Linked DNA regions of Canis lupus familiaris. The protein of the gene in region 1 interacts with the protein of each later gene in a pairwise test. Links are inferred from orthologs where the notes say so. Each region holds a gene or a part of one and is shown on either strand. Other genes may lie near its edges.

Region 1 (4,878 bases):
GGAGACCTGGGATCGAGTCCCACATCGGGCTCCCGGTGCATGGAGCCTGCTTCTCCCTCTGCCTATGTCTCTGCCTCTCTCTCTCTCTCTCTGTGACTATCATAAATAAATAAAAATTAAAAGAAAAAAGTAGTTTGACAAGACAGATGGCCTATTATTCAACAACAAAAAAATGCATGTTAAAAAAAAGAGGGGAAGGACTGCTATAGATTAAAAGAAACTTTAGAGTGCTACATTTGGACATTGTTTGGATCCTGATTTGAAAAAAAAAAAAAGACATTTTTAAGATATTTTGAGGAAAATTGAACCTGGACTAGGTATTAAGTGATGATAAATTGTTAATTTTATTTGGTGTGACAATGGTATTGAAGTTATGTTTAAAACAAATTTGTAGGGATCCCTGGGTGGCGCAGCAGTTTGGCGCCTGCCTTTGGCCCAGGGCGCGATCCTGGAGACCCGGGATCGAATCCCACATCGGGCTTCCGGTGCATGGAGCCTGCTTCTCCCTCTGCCTATGTCTCTGCCTCTCTCTCTTTCTCTTTCTGTGACTATCATAAATAAATAAAAATTAAAAAAAATAAAATAAAATAAGTTTGTATTTGTTAAAGATGTATACTGAAATCTAAACATTGAAGAAATGAAATAAGAATGCAAGAATGTTGGCTTTCATTGAAGCTGTATTCGTGGATTTATTATACTTTCTCTATTTTTGTATATTTCTAAAAATTTCTCTAAATTTACATTTATTTATTTATTTTTGTATATTTCTAAAAATTTCTCTAATACAGTTAGGCAACGTGAATATTTTTTATTGCCAATCTACTTCTTCTGATTTAACAAAAGATACTATATCTCCAGCAGCCCCTAAAGCCTAGGAGAAATTATAACTAGGTGAACGGTTTGTAAAAGCAGGATGGGTTACCAAAGTAAGGGTGGTTGAGTTGTTAAAGAGACCAAAGCTTACAGGGGAGATAGTATGACATTAAGCACAAAAGTGGCAGAATTTGGGAATTTGTAACATGTTATTGGGTTTATCTGAAAATAAGGTAGAAAGACTGTACCCTGTAGACCAGACTTAAGGGTGACTGGTAAATTGTTTGGTTGGATTTCACTATCTGAAACAGACATAAAAGAGTAGAAGGGTGCTTTGGAAGAAATACTACCTGGCAGTGAAGAGGCCTACCTTTTTCCTTAGTAATTCTGAGAAGATCATTTCACTTTTCTGGGATTCAGATGGTTATAGTACCTGATGTCTTGGTACAACTCTCTCATATGCTGCTCTGCCAGCTATGAACAGCTAGAGATTTTGGATTAAACACTATACAAGGTCCTCTCAAGATCTAAAAGTTCCTGATGCTAATGAATGTGTATGATTGTGCTTCTTGAAAGGAGGAATTATATCTACATACCAAAGAATCCAAATTTCCCTATAGGATGATAAAGTCTTAGATGATAAGAAGAAGTAATGGTAGGGTAGACTGAATATAAACTTTTGTGTCTGCCAGTCACACAGAATTCTTTGTTGCTAGCCTCTGATCTACTTAGAAATACAGACTACCTAAGCAAGTGGCACTGCATTTACCCTTGGTGTTTAGTCCAGTGAATTGTTAGACTGGCCTATAACTTTGGGTCAGGTATAGTTCTTTTGGCTTCAAGAAGCAGCTTCCACAAGATAGCAGTTTATTTATTAGTAGCACGTGCTTTGTACATATCTAATTAAAACAAATAGTTCTGTGTGTATGTGTAAAACTCATAATGTTTTATTTCTAGAGGAGAACATTATAAGATAGGATTTATTCTAATGATTCTTAAAATCAGCTTTCTAGGAAGTCATACAAGTTTTGACACAGGAATGCTCAAATTGCCTAAGGGTTATCCATTCTTTTAAATATAATTTTCTTTAACACCTATTGAACTTTTTCTTTTTTCATTTAGGCAACGTGAATATTTTTTATTGCCAATCTACTTCTTCTGATTTAACAAAAGATACTATATCTCCAGCAGCCCCTAAAGCCTAGGAGTCCAGTAAATCATTAAACAGACTCATGACTGAAAAACAGGTAAACTTGAAATATTATATATATATTATAAATAATATATATAATTATATATAATAACTATATAATTATATATATATAATTTGATCATTCAAAATGTGTGGCATTATTTACAGAGTATTTGGTTTTTATGAGTCATAGTAGATAGCCACTGAGATGCCCACATAGCTTTTGGTTCCTAAAGCAGATAGCTTCAGTAATTTTAATTCTGGATCATGAATCTTTGTGACCAACAACATAAATAAGGGAAAAGATTGTAGGAGGAGAAGTGTGGAAGGGATAAAGAAGGTGAAGAAAGTCAGCAGTCAAAAGGAAAGATTTGGTGCTGTTAGTAATAGTGCTATTGTAGTCATACCAGTAGAGAGCTTAATGTTTGGGGGCATTTGAATGTGGAGAGTAGTATTTTTATATGTACTTTGTCTATATTAATCTTTAAGCTATTACAATATTTAATACTATATCACTAGTAAAAAAACTATTTTATAAATTATATTTTTCAAGCACTTAAACATTGATTGTAAATTCACTCAGATTACCTTTTCAAATATACTCACATAACTTAAAAAGCAAGTAAATTAACTTCACACAGTGATTTCAAATTGATCATTGTATTTACATTAAAAGACTATTAATATCATGGGTTTAAATATCCAAAAAATCATCTCTATTTTTATTCTTATCTGTATTGTATATTCTTACTACCTTTTCTTCCCATTATTGTTTTTATTTACTTAATTTAGAGAGTTAGGGAAAAAAAAATTTAGAGAGTTAGGGTCCCCCTCTCAGGTTTATGGTACGAATAGGTATTTAGAATCAGGGATACAAAACTTGAGAATATCTTTCAGAGTGACGCTACTAGAATCAGTTACTTAGATGGACAGACTCCTTTTTATAGTTAGACCTTGTCCACTATACAAGGGACTATCTACATCATTGGCTTTGACTATTCAGGCATTTTGATTTTTTTTGGTGACCTTATTCATTAAGTGGTACTTGTTTCTGTGTGACTTGCATTTAATTTACTGTTCAGTAAATATGACCTAATTGGCAGCTGTTTCTTATCTTTCTTTAAACTTTGGTCAAACCTTTTTTTTTTTTTTTTTTAAGATTTTATTTATTTGAGAAAGAGCAAGAGCCTGCACACAAGCAGGGGTAGTAGGGTCAGAAGGAGAGGGAGAAGCAGACTCCACACTGAGCACAGAGCCTGACATGGGTTTGATCCCATGATCCTGAGATCATGACCTGAGCTAGAATCAGATGCTTAACCAGCTGAGCCACCCAGGCACCTTGCAGCTGTTTCTTTTGAGTAGGGCCTGGTGTGATTTGGTTAAGCAAAAAAACCCTAAGGTTTGTTTGGTTCATTGAAATTACAAGGTGTTTTTTGGTTGGTATTTTTGTTTCAATTTATCCATTACAGCCTATATGTATGAGTATGGAATTATATAATGTGCTTTATTATTTGTGCTTATTTGCATTCTTTTTGATCTGCTAATTTTTTAGACATTTGTTTTAATTTTAATCATCATGTGTGCATAAAAAATTCATATTAAGAAACTTTGGAGAAAAAGTTCCATTATTTTGTAAACAAGGAAATTATATTTGAGAGGGTGTTTCTTCACTTTATATATTGAAGTTGATCGTTCTCTCACTCCTTGTAATTACAGCGAGAAGAAGCAGAATGGGAAAGCATAAATGTGCTGTTGATGATGCATGGCTTAAAGCCTTTATCTCTAGTCGAAAGAACTGATCTTAAAGGTAATCAAATCCTATTCTTGCTAGATCCTATCCTTTCTCATTATGGTAAAAAAATTGTTTTTCCTTTTATTTTTTTATTATTATTTTTTTTCCTTTTAAAACTAATTTTTATCTTAAATTTTTTTGCCTTTTTTACTATCTGTATTATATTAAAAAATGTAGATCTCATCGTTTTTGATAAACAGTCATCACAAAGGATGAGGCAGAATTTGAAAACATTGGTGGAGGAAACAACACGTCAACAGAACATGATCCAGGAGCTCATAGAAACTAATCAGCAGCTTAAGTAAGAAAACAGAATTCTCTTTTGAATTGTTTGTATACCAGTGGTATGCATTCTAAAAATAATGCCTTGAATCTTGAACTTTAATTTTCTATTTTGACTAAATATTAAGTTTAAAAAATATTTTTAGTAGGTAAATCTTTCAGTAATAGCTTAGCTTAGATATGTAAGGGTGCCTTGTATTTCTTCCATTGGTTTGTGTTATATGACAGAAATTTTAACAATGCAATGAAATTTTAGAAATTCGTTATGTTGTTAGATGAGTATGTTTGTTAATGTGATTTCCTTCTATACTAAGGGAAGAAATCATGTGTCTGTTTTTAGAAATGAACTTCAGCTAGAACAAAGCCGAGCAGCCGATCAGGAACAACGAGCTAATGACTTGGAACATATTATGGAGAGTGTGAAATCCAAAATTGGTGAATTGGAGGATGAATCCCTAAATAGGGTTTGCCAGCAACAGAATAAAATAAAAGATCTTCAAAAGGAATATAAAGCTTTACAGGTATTATGTGTTTTCTTATATGATAGTAGTAAAACAGCTCATTAAGGTCACAGGTGACTTCTATGTCACTTAATTCAGTGGTCTTTATCTTATTGACAGATCACTGATTGCTTTCTAAAAATTCTTTCTTTGTTTGGTTTCCAGAACATCCTCTTCTCTGGTTTTCCTCTCACCACACTGGTCATTCTTTAATTCTTTTGCTGGCTCTTCTTATATTCCTTCCTATCCAATTAGTGCTGGGATTCTCTAGTACTTATTCCTTAGACCTTTTTTCTTTC
Region 2 (4,950 bases), on another chromosome or scaffold:
CAGGACATACAAGTGGGAAAATACATAGTAGATGGAAAAACCTGGAAAAGGGTATCTTAGAGGCATTATTTAAAATATTTTTAACTATGATATTTAAAACTATGGGTTGATGAGACATCACAGGCAAGAAAAAAGTAGTTAAGAGATTATGGGGCAAATAATAAACCTCTGGAGGAACAACCGAGTAGGGAAGAGAAGAGAAGGAGACAAGGGGGAAAGTGGTAGACAAGTAGTTGAATAGATAATATAGAGTCATGGATGATGAGGAAGGGAGAATTCAAGAAGTAGGAAATGATCATGAACGTCACATAGAGCAAAGTAGTCAAACAGGAGGAGGATTTGGAAAAGTATCCTTCATGGCACTTAACATAATTGAAATGAATTATTTGGGTAAATTAACATCTTTCCTAAGTAGACTAGAAATGCCTAAAGGTCAACCTGGGTGTTGCATACTGTAACCTCAGTTTATAGCAGTGCCTGATGCATAGCCATCATATTTATTGAATGGATAAATAAATGAATGAATATAATTCCTTTTCTTAATAGCATCACAAGTGACCCTAGGAAGTACAATGACAATCAGGTGAAGATAGATGTTATTGTAATTGCAGGAAAATTTAAAGAAATTTAGGTTTTAAAAGAGATAAAATAGGTCATAAGGCAGTAAGGGGCTGAGTTTATTAAGTACTTCCTAGAGATGTGTTTTGCTGAAAGGAGAGAGAAATCAGATTGAGGAAATTTCCTATCCTAGAATACTATATATTTAATAGGTTTTGTACGGACATCTGCTGGACTTCCACATGATCTTCCAGAACTTAAGGTAGCCACTCCAGTCGCAAGCTCTACAAGTGATGGAAGCAATGGAACCAGTAGAATTAGAAGCCTATGGGTTAGGGACAGCTGAGTGGCTCAGCGGTTGAGCATCTGCCTTCGGGTTAGGGTGTGATCCCAGGGTTCCAGGATTGAGTCCCGCATCGGGCTCCCAGTGAGGATCCTGCTTCTCCCTCTGCCTATGTCTCTGCATCTCTGTGTCTCTCATAAATAAATAAATAAATAAATAAAATAAATAAATAAATAATACATACATACATACATACATACATACATACTCTTTTTTTAAAAAAAAAAGAGAGAAGTCTATGGGCTAGGCATGACGGAAGATGTGGAGAAAGCACGGTAAGCAGAAGTCAGAGGAAACAATGGCACTACTCACAGAAAGACAGAGCCAGGAATGGACCCAAGTTGGAGAGAAGTTAAAGAATCCTGTGAAATCATTCAAAAGCAGGAATGCATGTGTGGGGTTGAATGTGTGAGGGAGAGCACATGCACGAGCAGCATATGGGATGCACAAAACAGTTACGAGTAAATTCTAAATAGGAAGTACTGAAGATGATTAGCTAAGTTATTACATATGCTGGCAAAACAGTCATAACATATGCCATTGTATAACAGAGCTCAGTTAGGTAAAACAAACTGCTCATTTCACGTATTAAAGTTGCATTTCCTTAACATACTAAATAAGTAAGAGAGAGTAGTTTCAAGGAACACACCAAATGTGCCTCCAGGCCACAAAGGAGTAGAAACATTATTTCATTCCCTAAACTTATTAGAAGACATTATCAAGCTAGAATAAAACGAATGGCAGCGCAAACCTAATTCCCAAACTGACGCTTGCAGAGAATTTCAGAAAATCATAAGCACATGGGATAAACATTTGACAACAAAGACACATTTTCTCATCATCTCCCTTACCTGTTTCCCCAGTATTAGTTGCCCATATGTAAATGTGTATGTGCGTGTGTGCGCGCATGCGTGCATGTGTGTTTACACTCAGGGATGTATAGATCTATTTAAGGATCTCACCAGAGTCCATTTGAATGTCATCATGCACTTAAGCCACAGGGTATAAATTATAACAGTCTTGTGCTTAAGCTGGTACCCAAACAACATATAAGCAACTTATTATATAGCAAAAAAACCTGAACACTAAATTCCTGCGTTTAAAAGATGTTTTAAGGAGGCTCAGATTTAAGGTGTATTTTTAAATACATTATCACATATGAGTAATATTTGCAACTTACAATTTTGAATACTTGATATAGATAACTCCTTTTTTCTCCCAAGTACAGAGTTTGATGTATTATGCGGCAAAATGTATTTTCCCTTAAACGAGGAAGATAGTACTGCTAACTAAAACAATCCATATTAAAGAGTAATTTTCAAAATCTGATGCATCTTTCTAGTGTATATTCATATTCACTCAGTATCTCGTCCCCTCATGGTATTAAAACCTCACCTTCATGTTGAAATTATTCCTGGGAGTTCAGGCTTTAGCAATCTTTCTACTAAATTTACAACCACAGTGGATATTTAACCATATCAAGAACAGGATTATAGCTCAACAACACTAAATAAAACATCTGAGTTTTTTAACAAATGAAATTCAGAACAGAACTTCTATCGAGAGGGATGAGAGGTTTTCAGCAAAGTGACAATACTTTTGCTGTGAACCTGATCTATGTCACAAGGATACATATTTGCTTATGTAGACACTCATTTTTTCGTTAGGATTTAGTGCAATGTTTCAATTTGTAGATTAAATTAAGTGCTAAAAACAAGAAGATAGATTTCCCTTCTCAAGCCATCAAATTTATATAGCAGTCCAACAGCCAAAATGTTCTTTATATATTCCTATCCTCCTCCTCTCGTCATAAAATCTCATATCAAATGGTGGAAGAAGTCATTCATTTCCTGACAAATCCCAACCCCTCAACACACAAAAATACAAAAATCAAGAAAGGAGACGTCACACTGAAGACCCCTAAACACATTATTCTTACCTCAATCTGATGACTAGAACATTTTGTAGACACAGTTTTCTTTCAGACACACCAATCGGGGAACGCTGGTCTACTTGACCCTCATGGAGTGCTAGGAGCAGGAACTTGAAAAACCAGCCTCTCGTGTTCCCACAATCTATTTACACACTGAACACACCCAGTAGCACAGAGTAATGTTTATCTGTGGTGGACAGCTATTCCATGAAGCAGGCAGTATGTCCACTTTCAAAAAGGAATGTCTCTGTTGATCAGCAGGGGAAAGGTAAGAGCTGTTTCATCTGCTAAAGCGCATTTTGGAAGATTTGTGAAATGAGATATTATTTAAATTAATGTTTTAAAGGGGATTCATTATTTTAATATTCTGTTCCTTATAATATTCTATTCTCAAAAGATCTGAGAAAAAAATATACTTAATGATAACACATATGTGCCAGGTGCAATTCCAAGTTTGTTACATATATCATTTCCCACAAGTTCAAAAATTTATTAAGTATGAACTCTTACTATCTCCCTACTACACATGGGCAAAGTAGGCATTTTGCCTACAGTTACCCAATTAGTAAATGGTAGAGCCAGAAGTTAAATCCAGGCACTCCAGCACCACAGTCTGTGTGTCTAACTATGATACTTCACTGTGTACATATAATTTCTTTTTGTATGTATAATTTTTAAAAGATAACTGCAACAGGATGTGGCTGCTTGGCTGAACATTAGATAATGAGTGAAATTTTCTTAATATTTTACTATACTGCATCTTAATTTGGAGTCAGTAAAAATTCTGGAAGATTATTTCCCCAACATGATTGTTCATTTATATGATCATAGCAGGCCTCATTTTAGATGCAATGGCCCTTTGGGGTGCCAGGGAATTGAGTAGAAGATGGGGTCTGACTTTAAGTACCAAGAGAGTTATTACTTCCTATGTTTTAAAAAAGTGTCTCAATGATATCTATTTTGTTCTGTTTTTGTTTTTTGATTGGATAACTCCTATTTATCTGTCTTTAAGTTCACTGACTCTCTTTGGCCACCTTCAAGCTGATGTTGAGCCCAGCTAGTGTATTCTTATTTTGGTTATTATAATTTTAAGTTCTAAAGGATTTCTTGCATTTAAAAGTGAGCAAAGTGAGCAAAGTGAGCAAGTGAGACAAACAGCAGGCAGATGTGCAAAAGCTGACATAGTTGTTTCTGGGGTTTAAAAACTGGGAAGCATATGGAAAAGTGAGTCTTTCCAATTCCTAGGTAGGTTCTAAAGTTTTTATTTGGTTATTTATAGTTTCCACTTACCTGCTGAAATTCCCTCCCTGTTCATTCATTAAGACCATATTTCTTTTATTCTTTGAACATATTCTCCTGTAGTTCTTTAACCACAGAATAATTGCTTTAAAGTCATTGTCTTAAAAGGCCAACAACTGAGCATCTTGGCTTCTTTTTTTCTTGACCAGAGGTCATATTTTCCTGTTTCTTTGCATGTTGAATAATTTTTATTGTTCACTGGGCAGTGTGGATATGTTTAGAGATTCTAGATTCAGCTATCTTACTCTGAAGAGTGTTGATTTCTGTTCTAGTAGGCAGTTCAATAGGTTTGGTTTTATGCTTTGTTAAGGTAGGTATGTAGAAAATCTAAGGTCTTCCCCAAGCCTGGTTCATTTTAAGGTATCAGACTCCAAATGCTATCTCTTCTCCATATCTCATAAGGGTAGGGTTTTACAATTTTCAAGGGTAGATCTATTATAGGTTTTACTTTAGGGCACGGTCTTTATTCCTAAGGCTTCTGGGATCTCAGGTGGATGCCCACGAGATTAATGAGGTATTAGCAAGATCTCTTCACTCTTATTGCTTGGAGCTTCCACATCCCCCAGCATGGGCCAACTGGTAATATCTGTCCGTTCTCAAATCTGTACCCTCTAGCCACTCCTAGGTAGTCTAGCCCTATGAACATGCAGCCCAGTTCTCAGCCAAAAACGCTTGGAAAACCTCCAAATGGACTTTTGAAGACCTTCCTTTATATAGCTACTTCTTCTGTGATGCCTCGTCTTAAAAATTTCAGCTTCTTCAAATTGAACTCTGTTCAATTCAAACTGAACTCTGATTCCTGCCTTCTCGGTCCAGC
Region 3 (4,681 bases), on another chromosome or scaffold:
AGGTGCTGGGGAATCTGATCTTGCCAAAACTCCAAATTCCATGAGGCAGCCTCTGCGCGCCAGAGTCCAAATGCCATCTCCTTCCCTGCTCTGAAAGATAAGCAGCAAGTGCCTGCCCTGCCCAGGGCTGTCCTCCCCTTTACTGCCATGCACTTGTCGGCAGGCCCACGCACCTCCTCCTCCTATTTCAGGAGACGGAGCAGCTTGGCCTGTGCTCTGAAACCCCAAACCCCGCCAGGGGCACGTCTCGAGTCTGTGTGTGTGTTCACACCAAGGCCCCATCTCACCACTCCCTGTGTGGCTTCCTCTTCTCCATCCTGTGACCCAAGGAGAACTGGTCTGTGACCCTCACCAGCTGGACCAGGATGAATCGGAGACCTGTCTCTTGTCCCTGTCACTAGCTATCATCTGATATCAAAGATAGCACCTCTTCTCCCTATGCTCCTAGTTCTGGGCCTCCGGGGGGGGGGGGCGCTTCATTTGTACCCACATTCCCTGAGTTGGCTTCATTTAGAATATGATTGTCACCACCTTTCCAATCCCCCCAGAACAGCTCTTTGCGACCAAGGCCTTCACGAATTCCTAATGACAGTGCAGGCTCTCCACGGCCTTGCAACCTCGCGCGCTCACCCGCGAGTACGCCGGGGCCCCCTGTGCTCGGCTCACCCCGGGGCCCACCCAGGCCCAAGCGCGCAGAGCCGGCCCAGCAGGTCGTCGGGGGCTTGAAGGCTCCCCGCCCCCCCAGGCTGCCACGGGGACGCCCTGGACAGCAGAGGAAAGCCCCGACGCCCCAGGTGGCTGGCGCGGGGGTCGGGCGCACGCTGGCCGCCGCCCGCACGCCGGGCTCGGCCCCCTGCCAGCGCCCACGGGCACGCCCAGTGCCTTGCAAGGATGCCCGCTCCTGGGGTGCCCGCGGCCTCCTGGCCCAGTGCCCCATTTCCTCCCGGGCGCAGTGGGAGGGAGGGAGGGAGGGAGGGTGGGAGGCGCTGGGGACCTGCGGGACGACGGGCGCAGGTGGAGAGCGGAGCGGGGCGGGGTGGCACCGGGGGCCGAGGCGGCTGCTGCCCGGGCCTGGGCCCCGCGGCCCCGAGGGCCCGCTCTCGGGATCGGGGTCCCTTCGCGCTGCGGCGGAGGCGCGGCCGGCCCGGGGCGGCCGGGGAGCGCGGGGTGCGGAGGGGGCAGGGGGCTGCGGGGACCGTCGGAGCCCGCGTGACTCAGGGAGCGCGAGCCGCGCCCAGCGCGTCAGTCCTGCGCCGCTTTCCTGTCCTGGCCGGTTTCTGCCGGTTCGACTTGCGTAGGTCCCCACCCCCGCCCTCCCGACCCCGACACGCCAGCCGGTGACGCCTCGACCGCCCGCCCCGCCCCGCCCCCACGTCGCGGCGAGCCCACGCTCGTCCCCGCCCCCGCAAGCCCGACTCCTCGCTCGAGCCCCGCCCCTGCGCGCCAGCGCGTGACGCCCCTCGGCCGGCGGGCCCCGCCCCTCCGGAGCGCGGCCCCGCCCCGCCGCCGCCGCCAGCCTATCCCGCCCGCTTGCGACGTCTGACGTCATGACGCCCGCCCCGCCCGCTCCCACGGTCCCCCGCTCCGCGCCGGCGCCGCCGGCCCGGCCCCGCCCCGCCCCGCGCGCAGTCCGCAGAGCCCGCGGCCGTGACGCGAGCGTGACGCAGGCGTGACGCGAGCGCTGCCGCTCCCGAGACGCTCGCGCCGCCCCCGCCGTGCTCGGAGGCAGCGGTAGCTGGGCCCGCGTCGCCAGGCCCGGGCCCCCCCAGCTCCCCGCCGCCCGCCGCCCGCCAGGCCCGGGCCCCCGGGTCCCCGCCGCCCGCCATGGACGACTACGCGGTCCTGTCGGACGCCGAGCTGGCCGCCGTGCTGCGCCAGTACAACATCCCGCACGGGCCTGTCGTGGGTACGCGGCGGCGAGCGCGCCCCCTCCCCGCCCCCCCCCCGGGGTCCGGCCCGCGGCCCTGACGCCCCGCGTCCCGTGTCTGGCCAGGTTCCACTCGCAAGCTCTACGAAAAGAAGATCTTCGAGTACGAGACCCAGAGGCGGAGGCTGTCGCCCCCCAACTCGTCCGCCTTCAATTTCTCCTATCGGTTCTCGGGTGAGGCCCCCGCCCCGGATCTCCACCTGGCCTCCCAGGGGGACGGGGTTTGGGCGACGGGGGGCACGGGGTCCGGAGGGTGTGGCAGGGGCGGTGGCTGGGAGGGGCACAGGAAGAAGGGAGGGGAGCCGGGGGCAAATGGTCCCGCCCCCCCCCCCTCAGACTTAGATTCGGCATCCGTGGACTCGGATATGTACGATCTGCCCAAGAAAGAAGACGCCTTGCTTTACCAGAGCAAGGGTAAGGCTGGGCGGGCGGGGGGGGGGCACCCTGGGGGGGGCACCCTGTCACCCTTACCCCCTCCCTCAGGGAGCCTGGTGTTGGGGGGACCTGGGATCTCAAGCCCGTCATCCTCAGCAGCCCCAGAGGGGAGAGACGGTGCCACAGGCTCCCACGTGGGACTGAGATTAGGGCCAGGTGGGCGCAGCCACTGTGCACCTTGCTACCGCTCTCCCCCCCTTCCCAAGGCTACGGCGATGACTACTACGAGGAGAGCTACCTGAGCACCAGGACCTACGGGGACCCTGAGCCTGTGGGCTCCTCCAAGGGCTTCCGCCAGCCATCAGCTTCACTCGCAGATTCGGACACCTTTCACCACCAGGTGAGTTGGCTGCCGAGCACCTGCATACAACCTGTGGGGGTCATAGCTGGGCTTGGACAAAACCTGGACGGGGGGGGGGGGGGGGGGGGGCGCACGCGGTAGGCCCTGTGCTTCCCGAGAGGCAAGGTAAGTGCACACCTCCCTTGGCAGGGCCGTCCTTGGGGGAGTGTCAGACCTAACACTAGGGCACCTGGGACGCCGTGCACCCTGACCTGGGATCTAGGTTTGAGATCTTTCTCAGACCCCCCGGGGCAGAAAGTAAGGTGCAGGCGGCCAGGATACCTGTCGAGTTGTGGAGCGGGTGACAAAGCCCTACCGGGCTAAGGCTGGTAACTCAGGAGGGTTTTGGAGGGAACAGGGTCCGGGTGTTTCAGCTAGGCTAGTTTGCAGTGAGGACGGGACAGGCTACAGGCTGCTGACTCTGCTGGCCAGTTCCCCTCTCCCTGACTGTTACCTGCAGGTGCGCGATGACAGTCTCTTCTCTTCTGAAGAGGACAGCAAGGACAGGTGAGTGGCAGGAAGGGCCAGGCAGCGGGTGGTTCTGGGCGCAGGCCCCCTGGCTCACCTGCTGTCCTCTGCCTCAGGGAACGCTCCGGGTATGGCCGGGACAGCGCCTACCAGAACATCGTGCACTACCGCCCTGTTTCCAACATCTCCAGAAGCTCCCTGGGCCTGTCCTATTATCCCACACCCTCTTCCACCTCTCCCATATCCTCATCTTCATCTTCCCCCACTTCGTGGCTCACCCGTCGTGCTATCCGGCCAGAAAAGCAGGCCCCTGGGGCTGGTCTGGGCCAGGACCGCCAGGTCCCACTCTGGGGCCAGCTGCTCCTGTTCCTGGTCTTTGCTGCCTTCCTGCTCTTTGTTTACTACTCCATGCAGGCTGAGGATGGCAATCCCTTCTGGACGGAGCCCTGAGGGGCTGGCTTCGTGGCCAGCTGTTCCCGGAAGTCCTGGCTGACTGCCTTAGTAGTGTCTGCTGGGGGAGGGGGTGGGGGCTTTTCTGTGTGTTCTAGCTTCGGTGTGCTGGGCTTGGCCCAGGGCAGTGCTTGCTCCCCTGCCTCGTTCTGCCCAGGAGGTGGCAAGCCCAGGCCCTCCGCGGCATGGCGGGCCCGGGCAGGCCTTCCTCTGGAGTCTCCTGGTCCTGCTTGCCTCTGATCCAGGGCCCAGGAGGGTAAGACCCTTCTCCTGGAGAGGAGAACATGGTTGTTGTCATTGCATGCCTCCTGTCTGTTGTCACCTCGTCGGGGGGGATTAACCCAGGCCACCCTGACTTTGTTTTCGTGGACACAATAAAAAGACCATTTATTTTTAACGTGTGGGCTCTCTTTGCTGGGAAGGACTTGGGCTGGGAGCCTCCAGGCCTTGGGTCTCCACGAGCAACATCTGGCTTTGTTCGCTCTCCCTTCTTGCTTTGGGGTTGGGGTAGGGATCGCATGCTACCCACGGGCACGTTTGTGCTTTACTGGTAGGGTTTGCTCCCTGACTCGTGACCCAAAGCTGCTGTAACTAGGCAAAGAAGCGTGCCCCCACGGGATGCAGAGAGCTCCCCCATAAATGCAGGTGAGGGTGCGTGCACAGCACTGGCTACAGATGTTCCGACAGGGAGGAGCCGACAGCCGGCCTCAGTACCCAAGGGCAGGTGGACAGGGAGGAAATGCGGCGAGTGGCGGGCTCCTCCCGGGCGGCCGCTTGTCCGGGGGGGGGGAGAGGCCCACAGGATGCCGCATCACCCCTGTGTAAATCCCACCCCTCACCTGCCTATGTTCTTGCTTATCTCCAGGTTTTCTGTGCGGGAGGCGAGCACCTCCACCTGCAAAGTACACACGTATTATTTACTTATTCATTTATTATTTATTTATTTACTTATTGATTGATTGTTTCTCAAAATTTTCTTTTTAAATATTTATTTATTCATGAGAAGGGGGGGCGGGGCAGAGACACAGGCAGAGGGAGAAGCAGGCTCCGTGCCGGGAGCC
Region 4 (5,014 bases), on another chromosome or scaffold:
GCCTCCCTCCCCAGTGCTCCCTGGGGTGCAGCTGCTCCTCCAGGGGCTCGTGGGCTGTGCCCACAGCAGCTTAAAGGGGGGAGTAGGGGGAGAAGCCATGACCTGGGATTGCTGGAGGTGGAGTGCTCACCCCATCTGTCAGACCAGACAGCAGCGGTGAGCTGCGTATGTAACGATGATCAATCTTGAGAAAACAAGTCTGTGTAAAGATGGAGAGCTCTGATGACAGAGAAAATCCAGCAGAACGTAAAAGCCCTAAATACAGAGTGGAGAATGAGGTGAAGTGGAGGCACGGACAAGGTTCTGGGCCCTCCAAGTGAGCTTGTGCATGCCCTTCCCCACAGATGCCCGTGGACCTGGATGCCCTGTCCCCAGAGGAGAGGCGGGCACGGTTCCGGAAACGAGAGTCACAGGTCCAGAAGAAAAAGGAGGAGCCAGAGCTCTATGATGACTTTGACGTGGAGCGGTACAAGCAGTTTTGGACAAAAAAATGACCAGGCCTGGAAGTGTCCTTAAACCGTGTGTTCTCGAAGCTGCCTCCACCTGGCCTTTCCTTCCCGCACGCTCGAGTCTGTTGTGAGCTCTCTGCGACCCAGTGGGCTAGGTGGCTAAGGATTGGGTCAGGCTGTGGTGTTCAGACGAGGTCTGAAGGGAGTGCCCGTGTGGGAGGAGGAAGGAGAGGGCCCTGGAGCCCCTCACTCCCTGACCAGCTGCAGCCTCAGGGGCCAGGGGCCCTCAAGAAGAGAGTGGGAGGAGCAGGGTGTCAGGGATGCTGGTACGGGCTGTCAGTGGACTGGCCCACAAAGGGAGGTGCCTTCAGCTGGGCTTGTGGCCCCTGTGACTACAACAAACCTGTGGTCGGCTGCCATTCTTCTGCTCCAGTGGTGGGTTTCAGCCTGGCCAGGCTTCTGCAAGACCAAAAGGCCAAGTCCCAACATTTCCACTTGTCGCTGGCCTGGCCCAGGCCTGCCTCTTGCCCTGGCCTGGGCTGTCAGGACTCTTGGAAACCTGAGTGAGTGCCCACCGTAGGGCACTGATACAAAAGGTGGGGAAGGTGCCCACGTTCTATGGGAGGGGGCTGTGTCTGGGCTCCTGGCGAAGGGTGCTGCATTAAGCACCCACCTTTGGACTCCTAAGTCCCTGGTGGTCCACTGAGTTTCCTGGCCACGCGCAGGGTCCTGGGAACATCCAACGGCATTGTCTGCCCTTCCCTTGAAGTGGGGTCACAGCAACGATGCAGGGGTCAACAGCAGAGCAGAGGGTGAGCGGGGCAGGGACAAGTGGGACTTGTAGCCACAAGGCAGGGTGGGTGCTGGTGACGGAAATCACTAAGAGGGCCCCCCCCCGCCCCAGGCAGGGGGTTCTGGCAGAAACCACCTACTGAGATTGCTGCTGGTGGGCCTGGCAAGACCTCCACTAACGCACGGGCACCTGCTTAGCTTCTGAAGGGGGCCGGAGGTGGCAGGCTCTTCACCACAGCGGGTGACACGGTGAAGTGGACGGAAGGCCCAGGCCCGTCTGCAGCGCTCTGGTCAGTGGAGGTCCCATCTGCACCAGGTGTTCCTGTGTGTGGGCCCCCGACCCCCGCTCCGCAGGACCTCGCCGCCGCCCACGTGGGGGGCTTCACACACTGTCCATGCCGCTGCTCCCCCGTGTCCAGGGCTCGGAGCTGATCCTGCTTTGCCCAGCACAGCCGCCCCCCGCGGCGCCAGAGGAGCCCGTGCATTGGCGCACCTGCGCCGTCCCGCCTGCCCTCCACGCTGGGGTCTCCAGGGGACGGCCCCGGGAGTTGCAGGCCGTGTCCCGCTTCTCCGGAGCCGAGCCGCCCCCGGTGCCCGCTCCCGGCACTGCGGCCCCACCCGCTCGCCCATCTCCCGGCACAGCCCCAGGACCGTCGCCCGCACAATGTGGCTCCCAACGCCGGCAGGATCCTCGGGACCCGCCTTGGCGCCTACGCCCGCTCCCTTCCCGGGCGGTGCGCCTAGCGCTGGGGGCAGGCGGGGCGGCGGGGCCGGGGAGCAATGCGCAGGCGCTTGCGGCGCTGCCCGGGTATGCGCGAGTGTGACGTCAAGGCGCGCGACGCGGCGGCGGGACCCCGGCGCCGGCGCCGCCCGGGGCGGCCAGGCCAGGGTTGACGGAGGCAGGGGCGGCGGGCGGCCTGGCACCATGTTCGGCTCCAGCCGGGGCGGCGTGCGTGGCGGGCAGGACCAGTTCAGCTGGGAGGACGTGAAGACCGACAAACAGAGAGAGAACTACCTGGGTCAGTGCGGCGCCGGGCCCGGGGGCGGGGGGGGCGGGGGCGGGGGGGCGGGGGAGGACGCCCGAGCTGCCGTGCGCGGTGCCGCAGGTGCGGGAAAGCGGGGTTGCGAGGTTCTCGGTGTGGGCAGCCGGGGGCGCGGGGGCGGGGAAGGAGAGGGCGCGAGGTGCGGGAAAGGGGGGCTGCGGGCGTGGGAAGGCGGGGAGCGGCGACCAGCGGGCCGAGCAGTCGCGCTGCGTCCCCGCAGGCAACTCGCTGATGGCCCCCGTGGGCCGCTGGCAGAAGGGCCGAGACCTCACTTGGTACGCCAAGGGCCGGGCGGACGGCGCGGGACTGAGCCGGGAGGAGGAGCTGGCGGCCGTGCGGCAGGCGGAGCAGGAGGCACTCATGGCGGCGCTGTGAGTGGGCCCCGCGGGGTCGGGGGAGCTCGGGGGGCCCGGGGGCGAGGCGGGGTCCGAGGGGCAAGGCCAGGGACTCCGGCCGCCGCCTGAAGCTCGCCCGCGGCCCCCACAGAGGCTACAAGAACGTGAGGAAGCAGCCCACTGGCCTGAGCAAGGAGGTGAGCGGCGCACGGGGGGCGGGGCGCCCGGAGTCTGTGCGAACCCCCGCCTGAGACCCGCTGGCTCCGCACAGGACTTTGTGGAGGTCTGCAAGCGAGAAGGAGGGGAGCATGAGGAGAAGGGAGTGGACCGGCTGCTGGGCCTAGGGAGCTCCAGGTGCGTGGCTGGGGGGTGGAAGGGGCCCTCCCCAGGTGGACGCACCGCCCCGCCGAGGGAGGCCTGGGCCTTCTCACCGTGGGGTCCTCGCCTGCCTTCCCGCAGCGGCTCTGCAGGCCGAGTGGCACTGTCCCGGGAAGACAAGGAGGCCGCCAAGCTGGGGCTGTCGGTGTTCACGGTAAACCCCCCTCTGCGGGCGGGGCACCCCAGAATCGGGCGGGCGCCGAAACTGGGACGCCCCCCCACAGCCCCCTAGAGTGCCTTCCTTCCTTGCTCCTTCCCTCCCCAGCACCACCGCGTGGAGAGCAGCCGCCCAGGGGCCTCCCCCACCTCTGCTAGGAAGAAGCCTCGGTTTGAGGAGGAGAAGGTGCAGCCTGGGTAAGGGCTGCTCCCACCCCTTGGTCCCAGGCCCACCTGCTGGGCTCCCCCAAGGGGGAGGCAAGGTGCACTCCCACCCCTGCTTTTCCTCCCTGGATGGGGAAGCAGGGCGCCTTCCTACCTCTGCTGCTCCTGGCAGTTTCCTGCCACAACGGGAAGGAAGGACCGCTGTACCCACTGGCCACAGGGAGGGGGGGGTGTGTCTGTGTGGACAGTGCACAGGGGACGCCACCCCACGTCCCTGCAGCCTGGAGAGCCACAGGAAGAGCAGGAAAGAGAAGAAGAAGAAGAAGAAGAGGAAGAAGAAGCACAAGAAAGAGAAGAAGAAAGACAAGGCACACAGGAGCAGGGTGGCTTCTCCACTGTCTCCAGCTCCTGCAAGGTAGGTGTGCTCAGCCTTGCCGGGGCAGAGGGAAGGTCTGGGGAGCAGGGCAGCCTCCCCCTGACCACATGTCCCCATATCCCCAGGCCGGGGCACCACCAGTGCGGCTCTGACTCTGAAGATTCCTTGCCCTGCTCCAAGAGGCGACGCAGCCACCACAGTGACTGAGGCCAGATCACAAGGGGCCCCCATGTCCAGCAGGGGACCTGCCCCGGGAGGACACACTTGCCTGGGAAGGCCCCGAGACACTTCTATTTTTCTTCAACTCACTTTGTACTTAAATAAACTTATTTTAAGGGGAAAGCCTCTCATCCTTGAGGGAAGGTGGCTGTCATGTCCCAGTAAAGTTCCAGCAAGACCAGCCTGAGACCCTGCTGGTAGGGCGGGGAGGGGGGGGGGGGGCGGGCTCTCCCTGGGTTACCATGTCCAACCCCAGGGCACAGACGTGCACCTGGAGCCAGCAGTGTGCCCCACCCCTGGGAGGTGAGCACCTAGTCATTAAACCCTCCTATTACAGCCTGCCTGCAGGGAGGATGAAACCCAGGGTGCACTCATGATTGTGAAACTGGCATCTTTGGCTTTAAGTCATCAAACTAAAAACGATTCTGTCTTCATAACCCTGGCCCTGGTGTTTCAACCTGGTAGTGGTATAAACAATCTTGGGCGGGGGCCAGACTGGGCGCCCCCAGCCAGGAGAAGGAACCAGACCAGCATGCCCAGTCAGGTGGGAGGGATGGTCTCCAGCCAAAGAGCCACTAGGAGCCCTGCCAGGGGTTTCCTACCCCTCAGGAGCAGGCTGGCTAGCAGGGATGGGCGTGGACAAGAGCAGGCCTCGGGCACACCCAGTGTGGTGACCCTGCTGTCCCTCCACGTCCCAGTCCCACAGAATAGACCAGGGGCTGCACTAACAGTCAGCGGGTGGACGATGAGAGGGCGCTGGGTCATATGCACACCTAACACAGGGAGCAGTGAGCCACACCATGTAGGTCCCTAGCCAGTGACATCCTCTGTGCACAGTGGTAAGTGTGGGTCAGTGGCACCCAAGCACTGGAAAGCCATGAAATAGTTAAGAGATTTTATTCTAGTAGCTATAATTACAGTGCTTGTTTGTCGAAATGAAAACTGAAAACAAGTATACAAAACAGTTGATTACTAATCGTGTATTGAAAGCAGTAAGAGGTTCCACGACACCAAATAAACCAGTTCTGAGAACTTCCCCAAGATAAAGTTGAACAGCTCCAGCTTCTTCAGTGTTTATCAAAATACAAAAGAAAACAGTAG
Region 5 (4,860 bases), on another chromosome or scaffold:
GGGGATGGACCTCACTGTCAGGCTCCTGCCCTGTGCCCCTGTCACCACCTCCCACCCGTCCTGGCTCCATACGTCACCTTTCAAGGTCTCTCTCATGGACCCTGTAAAATCAGTGTGCTGGAGGTAGGCAATTTCACCTTTCTCTGAGCTAAGTGAAACCATCTCAACTTTGCTTTCAGAGGTGAGTTAAATTTCAGCTCCACTCTCGGCTGCCAGGCTACAGGGGGAGGCAGTGGGGGGTTGGGTATCCAGGGTCCCTCCCTCATAGCCAGCCCACAGTGCACAGACTGGCCTCCCGCTGGGTGGCCTCTGGAGCCAGGGCCTGGAGTCCCTAGTGTCCTTGGCCACTCCGGGCCGGCCCAACTTTGGGAGCGCCAGAGACCCTGGAGTCCCCACAGGCCCAGAGATGGCCTGGCTGAGAGCCTGGTGAATAGGCCTCCCCAGCTGTTTGCTGCCCACCATCAGCCCTACCTTCTCACCTGGGAGGTGAAGAGGTGCGTGGACGGACACGCGGACAGACACGGGGACAGAGCCGGGGCAGGTCGGGGGGAGGTGGGCGGCAGAGTGCTCCCTCCTAAGTTCCAGGATAGAATCCCACTCTCTTCCTGAACCCAGAACCTGGCCTTGGCCTCTGATTGCGGCTGAGTGCGAGGTCAAGAGCCCAAGCGTCCCACGTCTGGGGCAGACAGGAGTGGCAAGTTTTATGGGGTGATACGCAAAAAGTGAAAATAACCCTCCCAGTCTCAGACTGCCTAAATGGAGCTTTCTCTGCCAGATGTCGCAGGGGGAAGCCAGCCTTATGTCGGTCCCGGATGTGGGGTCTGGTTAATCATCACCATCCCAAGCAGGCTCAGCTCGGAAAAATCAAGGAATGAATCAAGAAGCCCAGAGCAGCACCCTCCAGGCTCCTCTCCCACCGGCCCTTGGCCGTCCCACCTACACGGGCACAGAGCTGGGTGGGGAACGCGATCCTGGCGATCCTGGCGTGAAAACCTAACTTGCGGGGTAACCTGCCTGACGGGCCTTAATCAACGTTGAGGGCCGCACACAGAACAAAGCCCTGAAACCCAACCCCTGTGTGCTGCGCAGATCAGCCCGCAGGCCCGGAGGCCGCTGGGGGTGAGGGGCGGCGAGCGCTGGCCCGACTACACCCGGGCGCTTCCTGCACGGCCGCCATTTCCCGCACACGGAGGGAGGGCACGGCGGGCACCGGCTCGCAGCCCTCCCGGGGCGCGCCCACCGTCGGCCAGCCGGGGGCACAGAGGCTCCTCGGGGTGGGGGACCCCTTTAGGCCATTCACTTCCTCTCAGACTCGCCAGAGACGGTCTTACGCGCTGGTTTTGCAGAGAAGGCATTTGCAAATGACCAAAATGTCGGAAAAGTAACAGTGGACGGTGTCCCTATCTTACAGCTGTTTTGCACTTTCATAAAGGAAATGCTTTGCACTTATTTTGGCCAATTCGACACCCTGCCAATTGCTCTGACTTGTAAGCATTTCATCTGGGTTACTAGAAAAAAACAAAACAAAACAGACCTAAATTTTCAGACAGCCTAAAAAAGGCCTAGAATGCTCCCACTGGATTAATGAAAACATGGTATTTCTGTGCCCTAAACGAACCATGAGCTCTGCATTATGCCCCAGACAGTTAGCATCTCCTCGCAGCAATGTTATCACCTCTAGAAAAGCCAGTGACTCGGATCTGTGGGAGCCGCTCTGGGGCAGCCACGCGGCAAGTTCAAAGCCGGGCACACACCGCTGAGGTGGCGGGGCCGCACTCTGCTCCGGCTCGGGTCTGTGGGCCGTGACCACAGACACAGCCGAGGACCTGCCCCAGCAGGGGTGTTGGGTGAGGGGCTGGCCCGCACCTTCTCCGAGGTGGTTCCGGCTTTGTTGGCGCCTCAGACGCAGGCGTGAAAGGCCTGAATCCAGGTCAGACCGGCTCTGATCCCGAGCCCTGCTCGCCAGAGCCAAGCCCTTCCCTCCGAGAGCAAACTGCGGAATCCCACCCCGGAGCCCCCCCACCAGGCCCTTCCCCGCACCCTGCGCCAGCCGAGGAAACAAGGGGCCTTGGGAGCTGGCACATCGGCGGCCAGCAGGGGAGCTTTCCAGAAGGTCCCGTCACCAGGCGGAAGGCGGGAACCCTGGCAGCCAGTGACCATGAGCTGCCTTCAGGGTGGCTAGAGGACACCCACTGCCTGGCTGCTTCCGCCCGCCGACCTCAGCGGCCCCGGCCAGCCTGAGACAGCTCTGCAGCCCACAGCCCTCATGCTCAGCCAGAGGGGCACCTCCTTGGAGGGGAAGGATCACCCTGGCCCGCGTCTGAGCCCGTTGGCCACCGTCACTCTGTCTGCCCTGGGTCAGCCAGCCACTCGAAGGACTCTCCCCACACAGCAGCCTCCTCAGGCTGCTGGCCGCCGCCTCCCGGCTTGCCTGCCCCAACAGGTCTTGCACCTGAAGGACGGCGGGAGGCCGCTCCCCGACCCCGGCCGGCAGCCTGGCCTGCAGCCTGGCCTGCACGTTCCGCACTGTCCCTGCATCCAGGACCCCCCAGGCCTCAGAACAGACATCAGAGAAGCTTTGGCACCAGTCACCCCGAATACCTGTCAGCCCGTGGTGAACCGCCTGGGTGCCCAGGTTTGGCTTCTGCCCAACCTGCCCCCAACCAAGATCCAAACTCGGAGCGGCTTGGAGGCGGGCGAGGACTGCCGGCCTCCTGGAAAAGACCAGCTTCCTGCCTCCCGCAGCTCAGGCTCCTCACAAAGGGAACTCTTAGGTTTACACGTGTGCAGGTGGACAGCTGGCCTGGTCTTTCAGGGAAGTTTGGAGAGCGACGGGGAACAATGGAGGCTGTGGCGGGTCCTTCTGCAGCTGTGAAGGGCAGGGCAGGGAAGAGACGGTGGCCCCAGGCTCGCCTTACATGTAGGGCCTCACCCCGCCCCATGCAGGTGCCTGCTCACTGCCGACCAATCTCTGCTCCTGGCCGCCGACAGGTGTGTCCCCTGGGCTCCCATAGGCCAGGAGGGAGGCAGCGACGTGACGCAGCGGCAGGGCGGGCGGCAGGCCCCGCACACATTCCTGCCCCCGCCTCGCCCAGCTCGCCCGCCTCGCCCGCCCGCTGCTGCCGGGGCCCAGCTTGAACAAAAACCAGGGAGGAAGGCTTCTGTAGGAGCTGCCATGCATGGAGTGTGCAAGCTACCGTCCTGGCCCCTGGGCACCGCCTTGCCCATGAGGAGGGGGCCACTGAGGTCACAGCCTGCACCCTCTGCTGGGCCCCAGGCCTGGCCCCGCAATGGCCCCCTGCACCCCGGGACTGAGGCTCCCATTGATAGAAGGCCAGGCCTGGACCTGCCCCTCTGGCTCTTGGCCCCAGCCCCAGGCTGTGGCAGCAAAGGGGGGGTCTGCCTCCCCTGTATGCCTCCAGCCACGCCCTAGGGCAGGAGGCTGCAGAACGGGGCAGACACGTGTCACATAGACCCACATGTTGGGGATGCCAGGCTGCCGGAAGGCCCCTTCTGCCGGGCAGGGGCCGGTCTGAGGGCCCCGTCCAGTTTGGGGGGGTAATGCGGGGACACTCCCGGCGGAAGGTCCCGTGATGAAACACAGCTTCACGGGTAATTGGCCCCACCAGCAGAGATCCCTGAGGGCCCAGCTGTTTTCCATAACGACCCTGCAGCTCTGCTGTAAACTCCTGGTGACAAAGGGCCTGTCCCCCGGGCTGCCAACGCTGGGGCTTGTTCTACCCCAGGAGCCCAGCTTGGTTCAGCCTCACCTTTCCATCCAGGGCCTGGTCTTACACCAAAGGCTGTCCTCCAGGGTGGAGGTGGCCAGAAGAGCTGGTGGCTGCCTCAGAGGCCCCCCCTGAGGGCGGTAGCACTTCAGGGAGTGCTGTCCCATCCCTACTGCAAGAGAGGTCCCAGACGATGGCTGGGTGTTCCCCACCCCCTGTCCAGGAGTCCTCATGGGCCTAATCACTGGGGTCCTGGTGGAAGACCCTCTGAATCCACTCTCTACCCCAGAAACCTGGCCTTCTGCCCCAAAGGCAGTGCTGGGGGTGGGAGCACCTGCCTTGCCTCCACAGGGGGCAGTGGGAGTTGGTCTAGTTCCCCTGGTCCCAGCCTTGGAGCTTCAGTGATCTCTGACACTCCGACCTTCCCACCTCCAGCCCCAGGGCAGTGTTGATGAGGGTGACCCACTAGGCATGCCCCTCCTCAGGGCTGTCAGGACCACTCACTCAGGAGGTGTGTGTGGGGGAAGGATGCACCTGGCCTGGCACCTGTGTTTTGGGGAGACTAAGGCATTGCTCACTAACAAAACTCAAAGGCATTTGCCGTTGGATGGGAGTGGGAGGAAGGGCTGCTCGCCGCTGACCCCTGTCTCAGGCCCACAGCCTGACGTCTGCACGCTGCCCCATCCTCTCAGTCACAGAGCTGCTTGGTGCTGCCCTGCATCAGAACCACCTGGCTCTGCCCAGAAATGTCGGGTTGGGGCTCGTGGGCATTCAGAAGCTCCCAGGAGGATGAGGGGTGGCTGCAGGAGGCCACAGCCAGTGTTCACTGAGCCCCCAGAGCCAGGATGTGGTGAGGACAGGGTGGCTCCCCACTCAGTTGTGACATCTGGGGCCACTGGGGAGGACAGGGACAGTCGCCTGTCAGGAAAGGGGCACCCGGGTGAGGGAGAAGTGAAATTTTGCCAGGTCGCAGGCCCGCGGGGTGGATGCCTTTTGCTTTTTGGCCACTCAGTGGAGCCTGGCCTGCTGTGACTACTCTGATCCTGTGGTCAGCTGGCCGAGGAGGACATCGTACTTTCCATTGACTCTAATGCTCACATGCACAGAAACACCCGGATCACAGTGAGCTCTG

The links. The genes of interacting proteins can lie anywhere in the genome.
Region 2: the proteins of CEP70 (region 1) and SYTL5 interact in binary tests that used the Homo sapiens proteins (3 or more experiments, as listed by UniProt). The two-hybrid records come from large-scale screens. The link is inferred for Canis lupus familiaris from reciprocal best matches to the Homo sapiens genes CEP70 and SYTL5.
Region 3: the proteins of CEP70 (region 1) and EMD interact in binary tests that used the Homo sapiens proteins (3 or more experiments, as listed by UniProt). The two-hybrid records come from large-scale screens. The link is inferred for Canis lupus familiaris from reciprocal best matches to the Homo sapiens genes CEP70 and EMD.
Region 4: the proteins of CEP70 (region 1) and C14H1orf35 interact in binary tests that used the Homo sapiens proteins (3 or more experiments, as listed by UniProt). The two-hybrid records come from large-scale screens. The link is inferred for Canis lupus familiaris from reciprocal best matches to the Homo sapiens genes CEP70 and C1orf35.
Region 5: the proteins of CEP70 (region 1) and TTLL10 interact in binary tests that used the Homo sapiens proteins (3 or more experiments, as listed by UniProt). The two-hybrid records come from large-scale screens. The link is inferred for Canis lupus familiaris from reciprocal best matches to the Homo sapiens genes CEP70 and TTLL10.

What each region holds. Positions count from the first base shown.
Region 1 is NC_049244.1:35,300,865-35,305,742, reverse strand, and holds the start of CEP70 (centrosomal protein of 70 kDa), read left to right. Parts: upstream 1-1,900; 5' UTR 1,901-2,045; coding exon 2,046-2,060; intron 2,061-3,721; coding exon 3,722-3,812; intron 3,813-3,974; coding exon 3,975-4,098; intron 4,099-4,419; coding exon 4,420-4,600; intron 4,601-4,878.
Region 2 is NC_049260.1:32,902,130-32,907,079, reverse strand, and holds the start of SYTL5 (synaptotagmin-like protein 5), read right to left. Parts: upstream 2,965-4,950; 5' UTR 2,841-2,964; intron 1-2,840. UniProt on the Homo sapiens protein: May act as Rab effector protein and play a role in vesicle trafficking. Binds phospholipids.
Region 3 is NC_049260.1:123,237,159-123,241,839, reverse strand, and holds EMD (emerin), read left to right. Parts: upstream 1-1,735; 5' UTR 1,736-1,824; coding exon 1,825-1,906; intron 1,907-1,993; coding exon 1,994-2,101; intron 2,102-2,263; coding exon 2,264-2,341; intron 2,342-2,568; coding exon 2,569-2,702; intron 2,703-3,135; coding exon 3,136-3,209; intron 3,210-3,286; coding exon 3,287-3,620; 3' UTR 3,621-4,017; downstream 4,018-4,681. Other genes in the region: collagen alpha-1(I) chain-like, read left to right, coding at 593-952, 1,015-1,341. UniProt on the Homo sapiens protein: Stabilizes and promotes the formation of a nuclear actin cortical network. Stimulates actin polymerization in vitro by binding and stabilizing the pointed end of growing filaments. Inhibits beta-catenin activity by preventing its accumulation in the nucleus.
Region 4 is NC_049235.1:507,430-512,443, forward strand, and holds C14H1orf35 (multiple myeloma tumor-associated protein 2), read left to right. Parts: upstream 1-2,072; 5' UTR 2,073-2,166; coding exon 2,167-2,260; intron 2,261-2,504; coding exon 2,505-2,655; intron 2,656-2,770; coding exon 2,771-2,816; intron 2,817-2,890; coding exon 2,891-2,973; intron 2,974-3,078; coding exon of another isoform or gene 3,079-3,151; intron 3,152-3,262; coding exon 3,263-3,351; intron 3,352-3,598; coding exon 3,599-3,733; intron 3,734-3,819; coding exon 3,820-4,100; 3' UTR 4,101-4,350; downstream 4,351-5,014. Other genes in the region: MRPL55 (39S ribosomal protein L55, mitochondrial), read left to right, coding at 345-494.
Region 5 is NC_049226.1:56,838,198-56,843,057, reverse strand, and holds the start of TTLL10 (inactive polyglycylase TTLL10), read right to left. Parts: upstream 2,965-4,860; 5' UTR 2,943-2,964; coding exon 2,602-2,942; intron 1-2,601. UniProt on the Homo sapiens protein: Inactive polyglycylase.